Arabidopsis thaliana: one gene and its partner. The protein of the gene in region 1 purifies or fractionates together with the protein of each later gene. This does not show direct contact. Each region holds a gene or a part of one and is shown on either strand. Other genes may lie near its edges.

Region 1 (7,209 bases):
TTAATCTTTCTCAGTTTTTCACAGTCTTGATCGTCTTAAATCATTTTGTGCAGTACTTGTGAGCCTGGGACATTAGGGGAAGATAAAGTGATGGGGAAGGTAGTTTACTGTGAAGCAGGACGAGAAGAAGGAGGCAATGGAGGTCAAGGTCAAGACCATGTTGTGAGAAGTTTAAAAGGAGCTGGTGTGATCGTTCAACTTCTAGAACCAACTGATATGGCTACTTCAACGCTCATTGCTGGCTCTTATGTTTTCTTCGAAGACGGTACAAAGATCACTGAATACATCAACTCCACCAAGTAAATCAATCAATCTCTTCTCTCTATGTCTTACTTCTATTATTCTTGCTGTTCCTAACTCTTATCGAACTTCACAGAAATCCTCAAGCGGTTATCTTTAAGACAAAGACAACCAAAATGTTAGCTCCATCGATTTCTTCCTTCTCAGCAAGAGGACCTCAACGAATAAGTCCCAACATTCTCAAGCCTGACATATCAGCGCCGGGACTAAACATTCTCGCAGCATACTCGAAGCTAGCATCGGTAACCGGTTATCCAGACGACAATAGACGAACACTGTTCTCCATAATGTCAGGAACGTCAATGGCTTGTCCTCACGCAGCAGCTGCAGCAGCTTATGTCAAATCATTCCATCCTGATTGGTCTCCAGCCGCAATCAAATCCGCCCTTATGACAACAGGTAACTAAAATCATCAAACAAAAAAGCTCAAAGCGTTCTCAAAAGTAAAAGAAAGTTTCAATCTTTACACTTCCTTTACAGCTACTCCTATGAGAATCAAAGGCAACGAAGCAGAATTAAGTTACGGGTCGGGTCAAATTAACCCGAGAAGAGCGATTCACCCGGGTCTAGTCTACGACATCACAGAGGACGCATACCTAAGATTCCTATGTAAAGAAGGGTACAATAGCACAAGCATCGGACTTTTAACCGGCGATAACAGCAACAACACTACGAAGAAAGAATACAATTGTGAGAATATCAAGCGAGGGTTAGGTTCCGACGGGTTAAATTATCCGTCACTGCACAAGCAAGTGAATTCTACGGAAGCGAAAGTGTCGGAAGTTTTCTATAGAACAGTGACGAATGTCGGATACGGACCATCGACCTACGTGGCTAGGGTTTGGGCACCGAAGGGTTTGAGAGTTGAGGTTGTGCCTAAGGTTATGAGTTTCGAGAGGCCTAAAGAGAAGAGGAATTTTAAGGTTGTGATTGATGGAGTTTGGGATGAGACAATGAAAGGGATTGTGTCTGCTTCTGTGGAATGGGATGATTCGAGAGGACATCTTGTGAGAAGTCCAATTCTGTTGTTTCGATCGGATAACGATTACCGTTAAAAAAGACAAGACTGCTTTTTTTTAGACCCTTGTTTGTTTGTTTTTTGTTTTTTAGTGTTTGGTTATGATTTCTATTTCTAGTGTTGTTTTTTTTCTCCTTTTTAGTGTTGAAATAAATAGGAACATATACAATAATTCTCCCAAACTTTAGTCGAATTAAAACTTGAATAGTGTTGTTGGAGAAGGACCAATCTCCAACAAGTTAGTAAAAATGTCTACAAAATTTGGACATAAAAAACTCATATGAAGACAAGGTTTTTGTAACGCCGGATCCGAGAAAAGTGACTGAAATGTTTCCAACAAGTTTGGTGTACCATTTTCGAAGAAAGAAATATCAGAAAAGTGAATTGAGTAGCTTTCAATTTTATTTTGGAACCAAACAATCACAAGAAAGTGGGTCAAACAAATAACAAAAATGTCGACTCTGCTATCATAATAGCAAAGTGACATAAAAGCCACTCTGAACTCAAAGCTCACACTAACACACAACCTAGAAAGGCAATTTATATATTTGTGGCGAAGGAAAGGCCTTCCTTAGATAGCACTTCAAGGCTCTCAACAGAAGGTTGTGCTCGTGCAAGTTTAGCAATTGCATTGTTCTCTTCAGGACTTCCACCTTCTAAAAATGCTCCAACCACTTTCCGTTCTTTAATCCAGTAGCTCCCGAATTTCGGCTTTGGCGATTCCGGGTCATTGTCCCCAAACAATACGCTTTCTCCAACGTTGTCACCGTAGAATTGCCATGAGAGATCAAAGGCTCGAGAGTAAAAGTATGGAAGATAGTCATATTCCGGAATTGAGTTCCCTTCCTCAGCCGCCTTGATTGCCTACAAAATCATTATATCAATCGATTCAATTAGGATGATTTTATACAGCTCCTTCATTAAGACAGGTTGAAGAAGCATTATAATTATTACCTTTACGGCTTGTTCAGCGGATTTGCGAGCATGGTCAACGTGTTCAACGCGTCTCATTTCATTGTAGAGTTTCATTGGGAAGGTGGCTACATCACCAATGGCGTATACATCTGGAAGGCTTGTTTTGAAGAACCCATCAGTCTGCAATCAAAGAAAGATCTCATGAGTAAACAATAATAATAAGAACTATATCTCAGATACAGAAGAAAATGGAGTATGCAAGTCACAAACCTTCAAACCACCCTTCTCTTCTTCAACTTGATCTTTGAAGAGTGATATAATTGGTCTACCACCGACACCCACTATCACAATATCAGCTTCTAACGTTCTTCCGTCTTTCAATTTCACCTCAGTGACCTGCATCATTAAGCAACAGAGAGATATTGTTGAAGCAGCGGAGAGAAAAACTGCTGTTTGTCAAGTTTGAACGGTGATGCTAATTGCTAACCTCTCCATTTGAGTTGGTAGTGAAACCAGATGCAACAGTGCCTTTGACAATGTTAATTCCTTTGTTGGCATAGTAACCCTCGTAGAAGGAAGCAATGCCAGCGGTGAAAAGCCGAGGCACTTTTCAAAGACACAACAAAAAGGAAAGGTGTTAAGCAAAGGGAATACGATGAGAATTCTATGGTAGTGGTTTGGCTTGTATCAACTTACTGCACCAAGGTTCTGGATAAACCATGGTAACGTCGAGGTTGTTAGCCTTCAGAGCAGCACCGAGTTCAAGACCGATGTAACCGCCACCAACAACCACAGCCTTTCCTTTTTCCTTTGTTTCCATTGCATAAGCAAGGTAATCAGCATCTTCGAGTTCTCTCAGGTAGAATATATTCTTAGCATCTGCACCTGGGACGCCAAAATCTGACAACCTTATGACCTACACAATTTAAGAAATTCCTTAGAAGAGATGCAAAAAGAAAAAAGAGACTAAAAATGGAAACTTCCAAAGTAAGAAGTGCAAGGATAGATTGTGCTCACAGAAGAACCAGTTGCAGCTAGCAAAGTTTGGTACTTGAAGACTTGTCCAGTCCCACTGACAAGTGTCTTCGCAGCAAGATCTGCTTTGACAATCTCTGTGCCCAAAATCAGCTCAATACCTGCAGAAACGACATATGAGAATGAATGAGAGACATTGAGCTAAAAAAACGCTTAAAGCACAAAAAAAAAGGAAACTCACCTTTCTCTTTGTACCATTGAGGGAACTGTCTCTCTCCCCCAATTCCAGCAGCAACATAGAAATTCGGAAGTGTAGCTTTATCTATATACCATAAGAACAAACAAATCTAATTCAGAAACCACGCACAGACTAAACTAAATCTCCAAATGATGTAGAATGAAGTTTTTACTTTCGAGGTGGATATATCCCTTGCTAAGTGCAGGACGCTCATATGGAGGAACCTAATTAACACCAAAAAATTGCCAATACTATAAATAACAAGACAAGAATCTAGCTTAAATTTAGTTCCAAGTCATGAAAACTTACTTGTTCCCTGGAAATGATAGCAAGTTCACCAGGCTTGACACCTTGGTTGAAGAACTCTCTCGCCGCGTATCCCTGTGAATCACAACATCCCAAAACAACAATAAATTGGGAATCTAGTTCCTATCTTCCCGTAATCATAGAAATCACTAGATCTAGCGATACAATCTACTCTACTTCTCAGAGTGATAAGGATACAAATGAGCAGTAGTACAGTGTGATGATTCGTAAGCGAAGAGATTGAGGAAAAAAAACAAATCCGATGAAGAAGAAGAACAGAGAGAGACTTACGGCGGCGACACCACCTCCGACGATCACATACTTGAAGCTCTTTTCTTCTGCCATTGATGCGATCGAATCGTCTCTCTTTGATTTGTCTTTTTTCCTTTTCTTCGTCTTTTTGGATCCGAGAAATGTGATTGGGTCAGAGGTTTTTATAGGGGACTTTGTCCAGTATAGAAGGAATCTTTAAACGTGGCTTAATTTAAACCGTTAGATATCCCGCTTCGTGCACAAATCGAAATCGAACCGTTACAAGTCAGCGTCTTATATTTTTGACCCGGTCTTATTTAACACGTGACAGATCTGGTCGATGTAAAACGGACATTCAGATTTAAAATTCCGGTATTACTCGGTTTACTGATTACATTTCACTTTCAGTCTTTCATATTTGGAGAATTTTATTTACATACCAATTACCAAGAGAAAATATATGAAAGGAATCATAAATCTAGTGTCAGCAACCACTAGTCAAATTGATGAATATAGTAGAATATCTTTATGGAGTTGTTGGTTGGTTTTAATTTCTTTATTAGACCAATCTGTAGTTTTATGTATAGTTTAAGACTTTAAGTTTAATTCGATTATTTGTGTCAGTGAATCATTTCCATAATTTATTTGGATATAATGTAAAGACAGTTAAAACAAGGACCTTATCTTGATCCCTAAACCCGATAGTACAAAAAGGATATGTATTTACTACACTAATCATATGATTTTGTTTGCATAAACAAAGATGAATAACCTTAAGACCATAAATTATAGTAATTAATCAAACTACTAATAATCTAAATGATTTATGTCGTTATCTTATGTTTTAAGATCTACTACAGTAAAGAAAGAAACTACCTAGTTTTGTATAATTAGTATATTACAATAACATTAACATATGACCTAATGTGAATAAGAGTATTACATTAATAGTTTTGAGAGGAAAGATGATTTGGATTTTAGTCAAAAGAGGAGAAAAAATTGTCAAGAATGATGACCTAAATTCCAACCAGATAGAATTTCCAGAAATTGGGACCTAAATATTAATGATGTAATGTCACTGTATTAAAGACCTAAACTATTAATGATGTGGACCTTGGCGGCCTAAAACTCTTCCATGCCTACAATAATGAGAGTTTCAAATCCAATTTAATGAGAAAAGAACAGAGATAGGGCTGTACTAGAACACTAATTTACCGGACGTATCAAAAGTACCCTATTGATTTTGACATATGTTAATAAGTTAAAATGTACTTTGTATTATAATTATTCCTTATGATTTTGACATTTGTTACCAATCTTCTTGGAAGATTAGTAATTAGCACTCGAATACAAAGAGTACTATTTTTAGTTTACTGCATGCATGATTTTGACATTTGTTACTAAATCTTCTTGGAAGATGCTAGGATGACGAATACTTCTTACAGTGACAAGTGACAACCATGTAGAAGAAAGGATCTAAATGACTGACTAAATTCATCGGTTACTTTTGTTGTGGTTATAGATATTGACGGGCTTCTGTTAATGGGCCGGTCCGATCTATCAGATTTCGAAGAATACCCACGAATAGTTTTTATGAAGTACTCACTTTGTTGGATCCATATACAATATTACAAATTATTCCAAAACTCCCAAGTCAACTGACCTGTTGTTAGAAATAAATTTTCAAAAATGCGAACATAACTTTCACTTGTACCCTAGATGCAGACTTAGTGCTAAGCACAAGGGCTCAAATATTTGACCATAATGAAAGATGTTTTAACTTAATAGTATAAACTTATTAGCAAGTCAAGAAAAGGTCAACGTTACTATTTAGAAGACCGATATTAATATAGGGTATGTGATAATTTGCAATTGTTACATTATTCACGTATTAAGTTACTTAAATTTTGTTGACACTTTTACGTGCGGATGTGATTCACATAAAGCTTTATTATTTCGGTATGAGAGTATTGAGTATTCTATGTTCTACCTAAAAAAACATGGTGACAACCCTAATTAATATACAAAGTTTACTAAATTATTTGTTGTGGTCCATATCTTCCTGAATTTGCGAACATTTTAAACTTTAAGAATACTTTAAAATGCTTTAAAAATCAGCTTATCTTTAAGAAAACTAGTAAAAATTTCAATAAGTTAATGTTATTTTAACTTTTGAATATTCAAGAGAGAAACATTATAATTTCCCTCGAGCGAAGTGATATGTAGTAAATTATACTTCTAGGGTTATAGTGATGAAAGACCAGCATTATTGTCAAAATGTACATTAGGTCCATCATTATCACCTTTTTCTTAAGTTTTGATCATTTTCTTACCTAATATATACATGAATCACACAATTCTGGAAAAACAATCTTCTTGCCAAACAAAAAATCTGGAGTTTTCATTGAAAAGTGACATGGTTCATAATAATCTACTAAAACAAGATTAAACTCTTGTGCTTAAGAGTTAAAATTTCGAAGACACTTGTCAACGGAAAAATCAGTAGTGATCAACATGTCAATATAGTCTCCATCGAATTGAACAAAAATATTTAATAATCTCGTTCTTACATGAGACCCACAAACATATGAATATGGGTCCCATGATTTGTTCTTCAAACTGCCCAGAAAAATGCAGAATCCTTTTGAAACCTCTTCAAAAATATACCGACAAAAAACCCCAACAAACATAAAGATAGAAGAGACAGAAGCCCAAACAACAGCTTTTCTTGTCTCTCTGCTTCGTCAATAATCTCTTCAGGTACTGTCTTACTCTTGATCATAGATGATTCATCATGATGAAACTAGAGTTTTTCTTTTGTTATGCTTTGTTATGCGATAGTACATGTCTGCTTAAGAAAAAGGTAACATCATAGAAACACGACTTTGCATAAAGTTTATATTCATTTTTCTTGTTTCAAAAAGATTGAACTTTTGATTTGACGATGATTATGTTTCATATGAAAAATTCTCACTTTTGAATTTGACATGATCTCTGTGGAACTAAAGACATGAACCCATTAATATCAAAAGAACCATCTGCAGTTGTTACAGTTTGAGATATGTGACTGTTTCATAGGTATTGTGTTGTGTGGTATGTTCCTTAATTTTTAGTCTCTGATCAAAATATCTTGTTAATAAAGCATTAGTGATTTTTTTTCTCCCATATTCCTCTGCTCTGCTCTGTTTTGCTCTGTTCTTATAAA
Region 2 (7,293 bases), on another chromosome or scaffold:
GAAAAAGAAGAAGAAATACAAATCGGAAATCCAACGGACGTAAAACATGTTGCCCATATCGGTTGGGATGGACCATCCGCTAATGCCACCGCACCAAGCTGGGTATGTTTTTACTCTTTTCTACTTCTTTGGTAATTCTTAAAAGGCGTAAACAATAATCGTGATAAAATAGGCAAATGAAAGATTGTTTTATTATCCTACGCATATTTGGATGGATGTGAGCTCTAGATTAATACTTGACTCAAATCTACGAGGTCATATATATTAAAAATTTGACCTAAAACGTTTTCAGAAAATGTCGAATTGATTTGGTTAATGTTATGTGATTTGAAAGATGACTGAGTTCAACTCCGGCGGGGGATTCGAATCTGCTGAAGGAGTCGGAGAAGATGATTCCTCCATAAAATGTATGTCGGAATATGGTGGTCGGTCTAGAGATTTGCCAAACCTACCAAAATCTACGAGGAAAGCAGCGTCCGAGAAAGGTTCTCCGACAAAAGACAAATCATCAGACAAAACTAAACGTCGCTCTTCTAACAAAGGGACATCGTCATCGTCGAGGAGACCAAAGGAAGCCACTGAAGAACAAGACGAGTTGTCTTCTTGGCCTAGTGGATTACCGGAAATTCCAAAGAAATCTAGGAGGAAGAAGAAGTCGACGAAAGAAACCGCGGTTAATGGAGGGTCATCAAGATCGACAAGAAGATCTGATGTCGATAACATGTCGGAATATATGTCTGAGACTGGTTCTGTGAGATCTATGCCTCAATTCGACAATAGAGATGATTTTTGAAAGGAGAGACGACATATATAGAGACTTTGCTGCTAGCTCCAAATGGCTAATTTTCATTGAACACAACACACCAATTGTTAGATTTTCTTGTTCATTCTTGTACTATTATTAACTATGCAAGGAGAATTTAGACAAATATTTTTCGGTGCTATCATCCAAATCACTTGAACATAGATCATCATTGACGTCGATCATAAATATAAAAGAGCATTCTTACAGAACAAATCAACAGCATCTTTCACTTTACTAGAAACCCTATATATGAATAAAAACTTCTTGGACAAGAGCTGAGTAGTGTTAGTGTGATTTTCCTCTTCATCATAGCCCTCAGCAATAGAGCTGCATCACTACAACAATGGAGCTGCAATCCTGGTCAAAAGTTTTTGTAAATAATCTTCTTTCCTTTTGGTAATATAATTAACATTCTATCAAAAAATAAGTTTATCGTTTTGACCGTTAAATTGGAAACAGAGGACAGCTCTGTTTTGTGAAAGCCTTTTGTAGAGAGAGGGATTAATTTTGTTGTTTCAGTGACAGCTATAGTGTGGCTTCCCACAAAAACGATTTTTATTCATGATAGGAACAGTACGTATGAGATAAACTTGAAACCCTAGTATCAACCATATGAGTTGGTTAAATACAAAAAGATATTGAGAATTCTGATTTGAATCTCTTTGGATGGATCACACAAAAAAAGGAGACCAGTTCATTATTGATCTGTTTGAGGAAATGATATCCGCAAGAAAGTGTAAATTGGGCGTCAACCACAAAACAATTAACAAACCGGCTTTTGGTATATATAGAGAGATTAGTGAGCTAAAGCTTTAACCGCTTTCTCAGCTGCATCATCCAAATCATCAGCTGTTATGAGTTTCATTCCACTTTCCTTGAGGATTCTCTTTCCCTGCTCAACATTCGTTCCTTCTAGACGAACCACCACTGGCACTTTCAATGCGACCTGTCCTCGCCATTCCACACAAACACTCGGATTTATTTTCAATCATGAATATATGAAATATTATGGTAACAAGGTTGTTTCTCACTCACCTCTTTTGCAGCGTTCACGATTCCACTAGCAATCACATCACATTTCATTATCCCACCAAATATGTTCACCAAGATTGCTTTCACTTTATCGTCCGATGTCAGTATCTTAAACGCTTCCACCACCTTATTTTTTGACACAAACCTCTATTAAAATTGGTTTTCATTCCAATGATTCCCAAAAGTGAAGAAAGAAAGAAGGTTCCTTTTACCTGGTGCTCAGAAGCATTTCCACCAACGTCAAGGAAATTGGCGGGTGTTCCACCGTGTAATTTAATGATGTCCATGGTTGCCATGGCCAATCCAGCACCATTCACCATGCAACCAATCTCTCCATCTAAACCGATGTAGTTCAGGTCAACTTTAGCAGCAGCCACCTATGAGACACAACACACTATTCCTTTTAACATCCTATCGAATTAACATAACAATGGCTTTCTTGATGATACAAGAGATAGACAGAGACCTCTCGTGGATCCTCCTGTGTTGGATCACGCATGGCGAAAACCTCTTTTTGTCGGAACGCAGCATTATCATCGAAGTTCAATTTGGCATCAGCAGCTACCAATTGATTAGTTGATGTCTCCGCAAGGGGATTGATCTACAAGAGAAATTTGGAGGTTCAACAAAAGATATTTATAACTGAAGAAGTGTGTAGAAAAAAGACAGTGAGAGAGAACTCACTTCCAACATTGTGCAGTCAGTCTTGCGGAAGAGTTCGTATAGCTTCTTCACTTGTTCAATCGAATCTTTTCTGTCAGCAGCTTTGGGAGCCAGACCATCCACAACCTTAGCAGCATCTTCATCAGTGATTCCTGCAAATACATCAATTGGTACCTACGCAAAACCATGACTTGAGGTGTCAAAAACCCGCATGAGAAAGAATCTCAGAATGATATTTACTGGAGATCAGACCACCAAATACGAATCAAACAGTAACAACCTTGATGATCATGTCAGGGAACTTCTCAGCAAGATCTTCAATACTGGTACCACCCTTTTTACAGGCAATGATCAACTGATATAGGAAAGGAAAGCGTTTTAGATATTACAGCAGGGTATGAAAACAGCATGCCTAGAAGTAGGGAAATGAATAGCAGCAGCTCATCATTTGCGTAGTAGCATACCGGTCCAGCAGATTTACGGTCCAGAATAATGGAAAAGTACATCTCATTGACGAGTGACAATTTCTCACACAAGTAAACCTGCTCAAAATGAAGACACAATGAATAAACAAAGGTGCAAGAGCAGTGACAATAATAGAAGAAAAAACACCAATCATGAATAACAGATAACAAACCTTGCTAACTACTTTGCCTTGAGGACCAGTTTGCTTGGTGACAAGTACTTGTCCTAGCATCTTTCCTACAAGTAATAAAGATTTGAAATAGATCAATAACTTGTACAACAACAACAAAAAACAGACTCCAGAAAGCCACAAACAAGAAATCCTGTACAATACCAGCAATCTCTTCAGCCTCATCACGTTTAACAATGTGAACACCACCCTTAAGACCACTCTTGAATGTTCCAAGACCTCTTCCACCAGCCAAAATCTGGCTCTTAACAACCAACTGTATCACACGAAAATGACACTCTTTCAATTAGACAACAACTAATAATAGAGATTAGAATCGAATCCCTCACTGAATTTACCTCGCTTTCATTAGGGAAAACATCTTGAATAGCCTTTTTAACTTCTTCCAACGAAGAAGCAGCTACTCCTTTCGGCACATTAACTCCATATTTCCCCATCAATTCAGCTCCCTGGTTGTATCAGAATCACAATACAAACTTTACATTATCCTAAACCCAGAGAATTCTATCAACCACAAATCAATCAGTGGATCAACACAGAAACAACAGACAAAGACACAGATCGTACTCGAATTCTGACTTGACAAAAGCGAATCTAGGCAACTATCAAATGGAAATGAAGAGAAGAAGAACCTGATACTCGTGGATGTTGAGACGACGAAGCTGTTGGTTCTGCCATTTCCCGGAGATGGAGAGAGATCTGGACACGAGCTTGTTCACCAATCCCCTCATCGTTGGATTTGTTAGTAGTCGAAAAGTAGCCCAAGAGAAAATGAGAAAATGTAGAAAGAGCAGAGAATAGTCGCAGCTATGAATGATCGAGTCTAACCCTAATTTTTTCCTACTTTATGAATTTTCAATTTAACCCTCTCTATTCTTCTATGTCGCCGGCTCATTTAATTCCAAAATATTTTTGGTAACTCTTGTTAGAAAAAATCTAAGATTTTATTTTCAAAAAGTCTATATATGAAAATACCAAAGTACCATTTTAATTCACTAACAATATAACAATAAAAAAACTAAGCAATACAATTTTTCAATAAAAATGCTAACCCACTAGAGATTGACATCAGATATATCGCCGGATAATTTTTTCCTTTATAAATCTATAATTTTATTGTATATAACATCGACTGATTGTGTATTATTTGTAGTATTATTTTACTTGTATATGACTAAATATTTATATGAATAAATTTTATCCGACTTATCGACAAGACAAATTTTTAGTTACTGTATTTTAGATAATAATTTTCAGTTTATTTGGTTTTTTAATTTCCAGTTATTTAATTTTGAGTCTAATTAAAATAAAAAAATGATCATTTATTGTTTTCTCAATACATTTGATATTATTTACTTTCTGAAAAAATGAGGATACTTACAAAAGTTTCAATTATTTATTATGTACTTATGATATTACTGTTATCATCACCAAAATGAGCTAAGCCAAAAGCTTTAGTATTACTGTAAGGAATCTTCCACCGGTACGGTTGAGTAAGTTGAGTAAACCGGGATTACTCAAAAAGAAAAAAATTGTTGTCATTGGAACATAAGCCCCGTTCAGTTAGTCCGATGAGGACCAAGTGAATAACTGTCGTGAATCGAACGGCCATGATGTCATCGACGGAGAGACAACAGAAGCTCCACACACGCGTCTCAGCTTATAGAATCTCTCCACCGCATGATTCTCTCGTTACCGAGGCCGCATCTCTGCGAAAAGTGGCCCGGGGACTTTCCTGGGTCGGAACTTAGACAAGCCCATGTGACCCATTCACTTTGTCCAATGACTATTGTTACTTGTTTTCGTTTTCGACTAAATATATACACAACTGATATTTTGAAACTACCGATGTGGGACAAACCCCCCAAAAATATAAACATTCTTCTAAATCTGACCAAAATATAGTAATTTAGTAAAATTCGACTAAACAGTCTACTCAAAACTCATTGCTCTGTGTATTTATTAGTCCACATGATTATTCTCTCATATAAGTTAAATTGAATGTGTATACAATAAACCTATAAACTAACTCTAAAACGAACTTCTCAAACTTTGAAATGAACATGTTTTAGAAAGAATGCAAAATATGGTACAACCTTGACGCATTAGATCAAGAAGGTGGCTTCAAGTTCCTAATTGCAGCGGCCATGATCTGAAATAATTCCACATGTGAAATAAAATCAGACAACAACAAAGTCAACAATTATTGTTGTAATTATCGCTTAATGTAAGATAATAAACGTACCCGGGCAGATCCAGGATCAAACCTTCTTTCACCAATTCTTGTATTCCTGTCCTCACTCTTTGTGACTGCACTTCTTTGACTAGATTCAACTTTGCTGCTGCTGTTGCTGCTTTCACTACATACTTCTTCACCCATCTGTGTGCCTCTGTTCTTGCTTCTTGTTCTATAAGTACGGTCAGACGTTCCACCAGAACCAAGAACCGGGTTATCTAGGGATTCTGCTGCTTCATCTTCAATAACTTTGCTCTTGCTTCTTGTTGTGTAATCAAATATATTATTTGTTTGGAGACTTTGTCCCTTCTTAGAAAATTGTGTCGCCGCTGCTTTTGCACCGGCGATTGCAGCTGTGAGGCTGGTAACTTGCTTGATTGCAGCTGTGAGGCTGGTAACTTGCTTTGAATCAAGTTCTTTCTTCTCTTGCATTGTACAAGGAATAGAACCAGGTTTTAAGGAAAACGGGTCTTTTGGGTCAGGAAGAGGGAATTTCACCTTAAAAGAGTTTTGAGAAGGCATAAGACCTCTAGCTGCTGCTACATAAATCTGTTTCATTTAGAAATACAGTAAGTAACTGGTACTAATTTATACTACAACAAGAACCCACCAATCCCTAGGCTTTGAAGAACAGCAAGATTACCTTATTCTCTAAGTTATAGACGCCCTGGTACCCACGCATCTCAAATGGAATAATCAGTTTCTGGAAGAGTTCACAGAATCAAATGTCAAATAAGTCAATCTAAACAAAACAGTAACAGCCAAAAGATGAAGTGACTTTCACCTGTGGCTTCTCACATAGCCAACAAAAGTTAGTTTGTCCTTCAAGCCTCACCTATTACATACCAAAACAACAGTTGAGGTTTTTGCTTATTATACTAAAGAATCATCGATAACGAGCTGTTTTCAATGTCAAAGAATAGAACACAGTAATAAGGAAAATTGTTGTACCCCTTGAGGTAAAGCATCCCAGTTCTGAAGCTCATCGGAGGTGACACATCCAACAACCTCAACACATCCTATACCAACGAAACCGTATTCAAATATGTTCCAAGCAAAATCAGGTCTTGCTTATACTATAACATGGAACTTAGACTTTCAAATATGGAGATTAGTAAACAACGATACCAATTAGTCTTGAAACAGGGTAATGTTGGGGGAATTGAATATCAGTGATCCCATCAACAGCATAAATTTGTTGGTAAAACTCTTCCATTGCTTTGATAGTAGCTTCATCAGGTACTTTACTTGCAGCATGAATCCATAAACGGCCTATTTACATGTTTAAAAACAACATCATCTTCTTCTTCAAAGTTATGCAATTATCACAGTGTTTCAAATTCAAATTAAATCTCAGTCGAATCCCTGAGTTCAAAATTAGGGTTTTTTTTACCTCGAATTGGGGAAGGCCAGGATCTGCCTTCGATGCGTTTGATACCATGGACGAGAAGTGATGCCCATGGCTGATGCATGGTCAAGCACGGGTTCTTGTAATTCCCACGACTCATCACTCTTTTTCTTCCAAAATCCAAATATCAAAACCTATACTTAAACCTAATCGAATCCAAATCAACCAATCACCAAGGATATATCCAATTAAGCTCAAACCTAGAATATGAACAATTCCAAAATCGAATTTTTCTCACCTACGAATTTGAGTTTGTCCTCTGTCGAGAAGACGTAGGTTAATTAGTGTTTAGCTCCGTCAAAAAGTTTTTATTAACTACGCTTATATCAATAATTTGGAAATTATAAAGTAAAGTAAATCATTTTACTATTCGATTGGCGGGTTGAGCCAAGCCCGTGCAGTAGTGCAACGCATGGGCGACTCGCGGAAACCCAGGTAGCAAGCTACCTTAATGGGCTTCCTCCCTTAAAAAATAGAGTTAATATCGTGTGGGC

The links. Proteins that work in one complex are often made in the same cells at the same time.
Region 2: the proteins of ATMDAR2 (region 1) and AT2G20420 fractionate together in Arabidopsis thaliana (co-fractionation; one large-scale study listed by BioGRID). This does not show direct contact.

Annotation. Positions count from the first base shown.
Region 1 is NC_003076.8:920,520-927,728, forward strand, and holds ATMDAR2 (Pyridine nucleotide-disulfide oxidoreductase family protein), read right to left. Parts: upstream 4,210-7,209; 5' UTR 4,098-4,209; coding exon 4,044-4,097; intron 3,828-4,043; coding exon 3,756-3,827; intron 3,671-3,755; coding exon 3,619-3,670; intron 3,531-3,618; coding exon 3,450-3,530; intron 3,370-3,449; coding exon 3,251-3,369; intron 3,150-3,250; coding exon 2,930-3,149; intron 2,840-2,929; coding exon 2,721-2,839; intron 2,630-2,720; coding exon 2,504-2,629; intron 2,414-2,503; coding exon 2,273-2,413; intron 2,183-2,272; coding exon 1,859-2,182; 3' UTR 1,529-1,858; downstream 1-1,528. Other genes in the region: AT5G03620 (Subtilisin-like serine endopeptidase family protein), read left to right, coding at 54-299, 377-699, 781-1,355. UniProt on the Arabidopsis thaliana protein: Catalyzes the conversion of monodehydroascorbate to ascorbate, oxidizing NADH in the process.
Region 2 is NC_003071.7:8,802,167-8,809,459, reverse strand, and holds AT2G20420 (ATP citrate lyase (ACL) family protein), read right to left. Parts: upstream 4,119-7,293; 5' UTR 3,887-4,118; coding exon 3,788-3,886; intron 3,605-3,787; coding exon 3,494-3,604; intron 3,412-3,493; coding exon 3,300-3,411; intron 3,203-3,299; coding exon 3,138-3,202; intron 3,043-3,137; coding exon 2,965-3,042; intron 2,856-2,964; coding exon 2,781-2,855; intron 2,675-2,780; coding exon 2,522-2,674; intron 2,439-2,521; coding exon 2,304-2,438; intron 2,215-2,303; coding exon 2,050-2,214; intron 1,964-2,049; coding exon 1,841-1,963; intron 1,752-1,840; coding exon 1,602-1,751; 3' UTR 1,289-1,601; downstream 1-1,288. Other genes in the region: RIC6 (ROP-interactive CRIB motif-containing protein 6), read left to right, coding at 1-102, 335-793; AT2G20410 (RNA-binding ASCH domain protein), read right to left, coding at 5,266-5,307, 5,401-5,940, 6,035-6,094, 6,176-6,226, 6,343-6,410, 6,520-6,663, 6,785-6,899. UniProt on the Arabidopsis thaliana protein: Succinyl-CoA synthetase functions in the citric acid cycle (TCA), coupling the hydrolysis of succinyl-CoA to the synthesis of ATP and thus represents the only step of substrate-level phosphorylation in the TCA.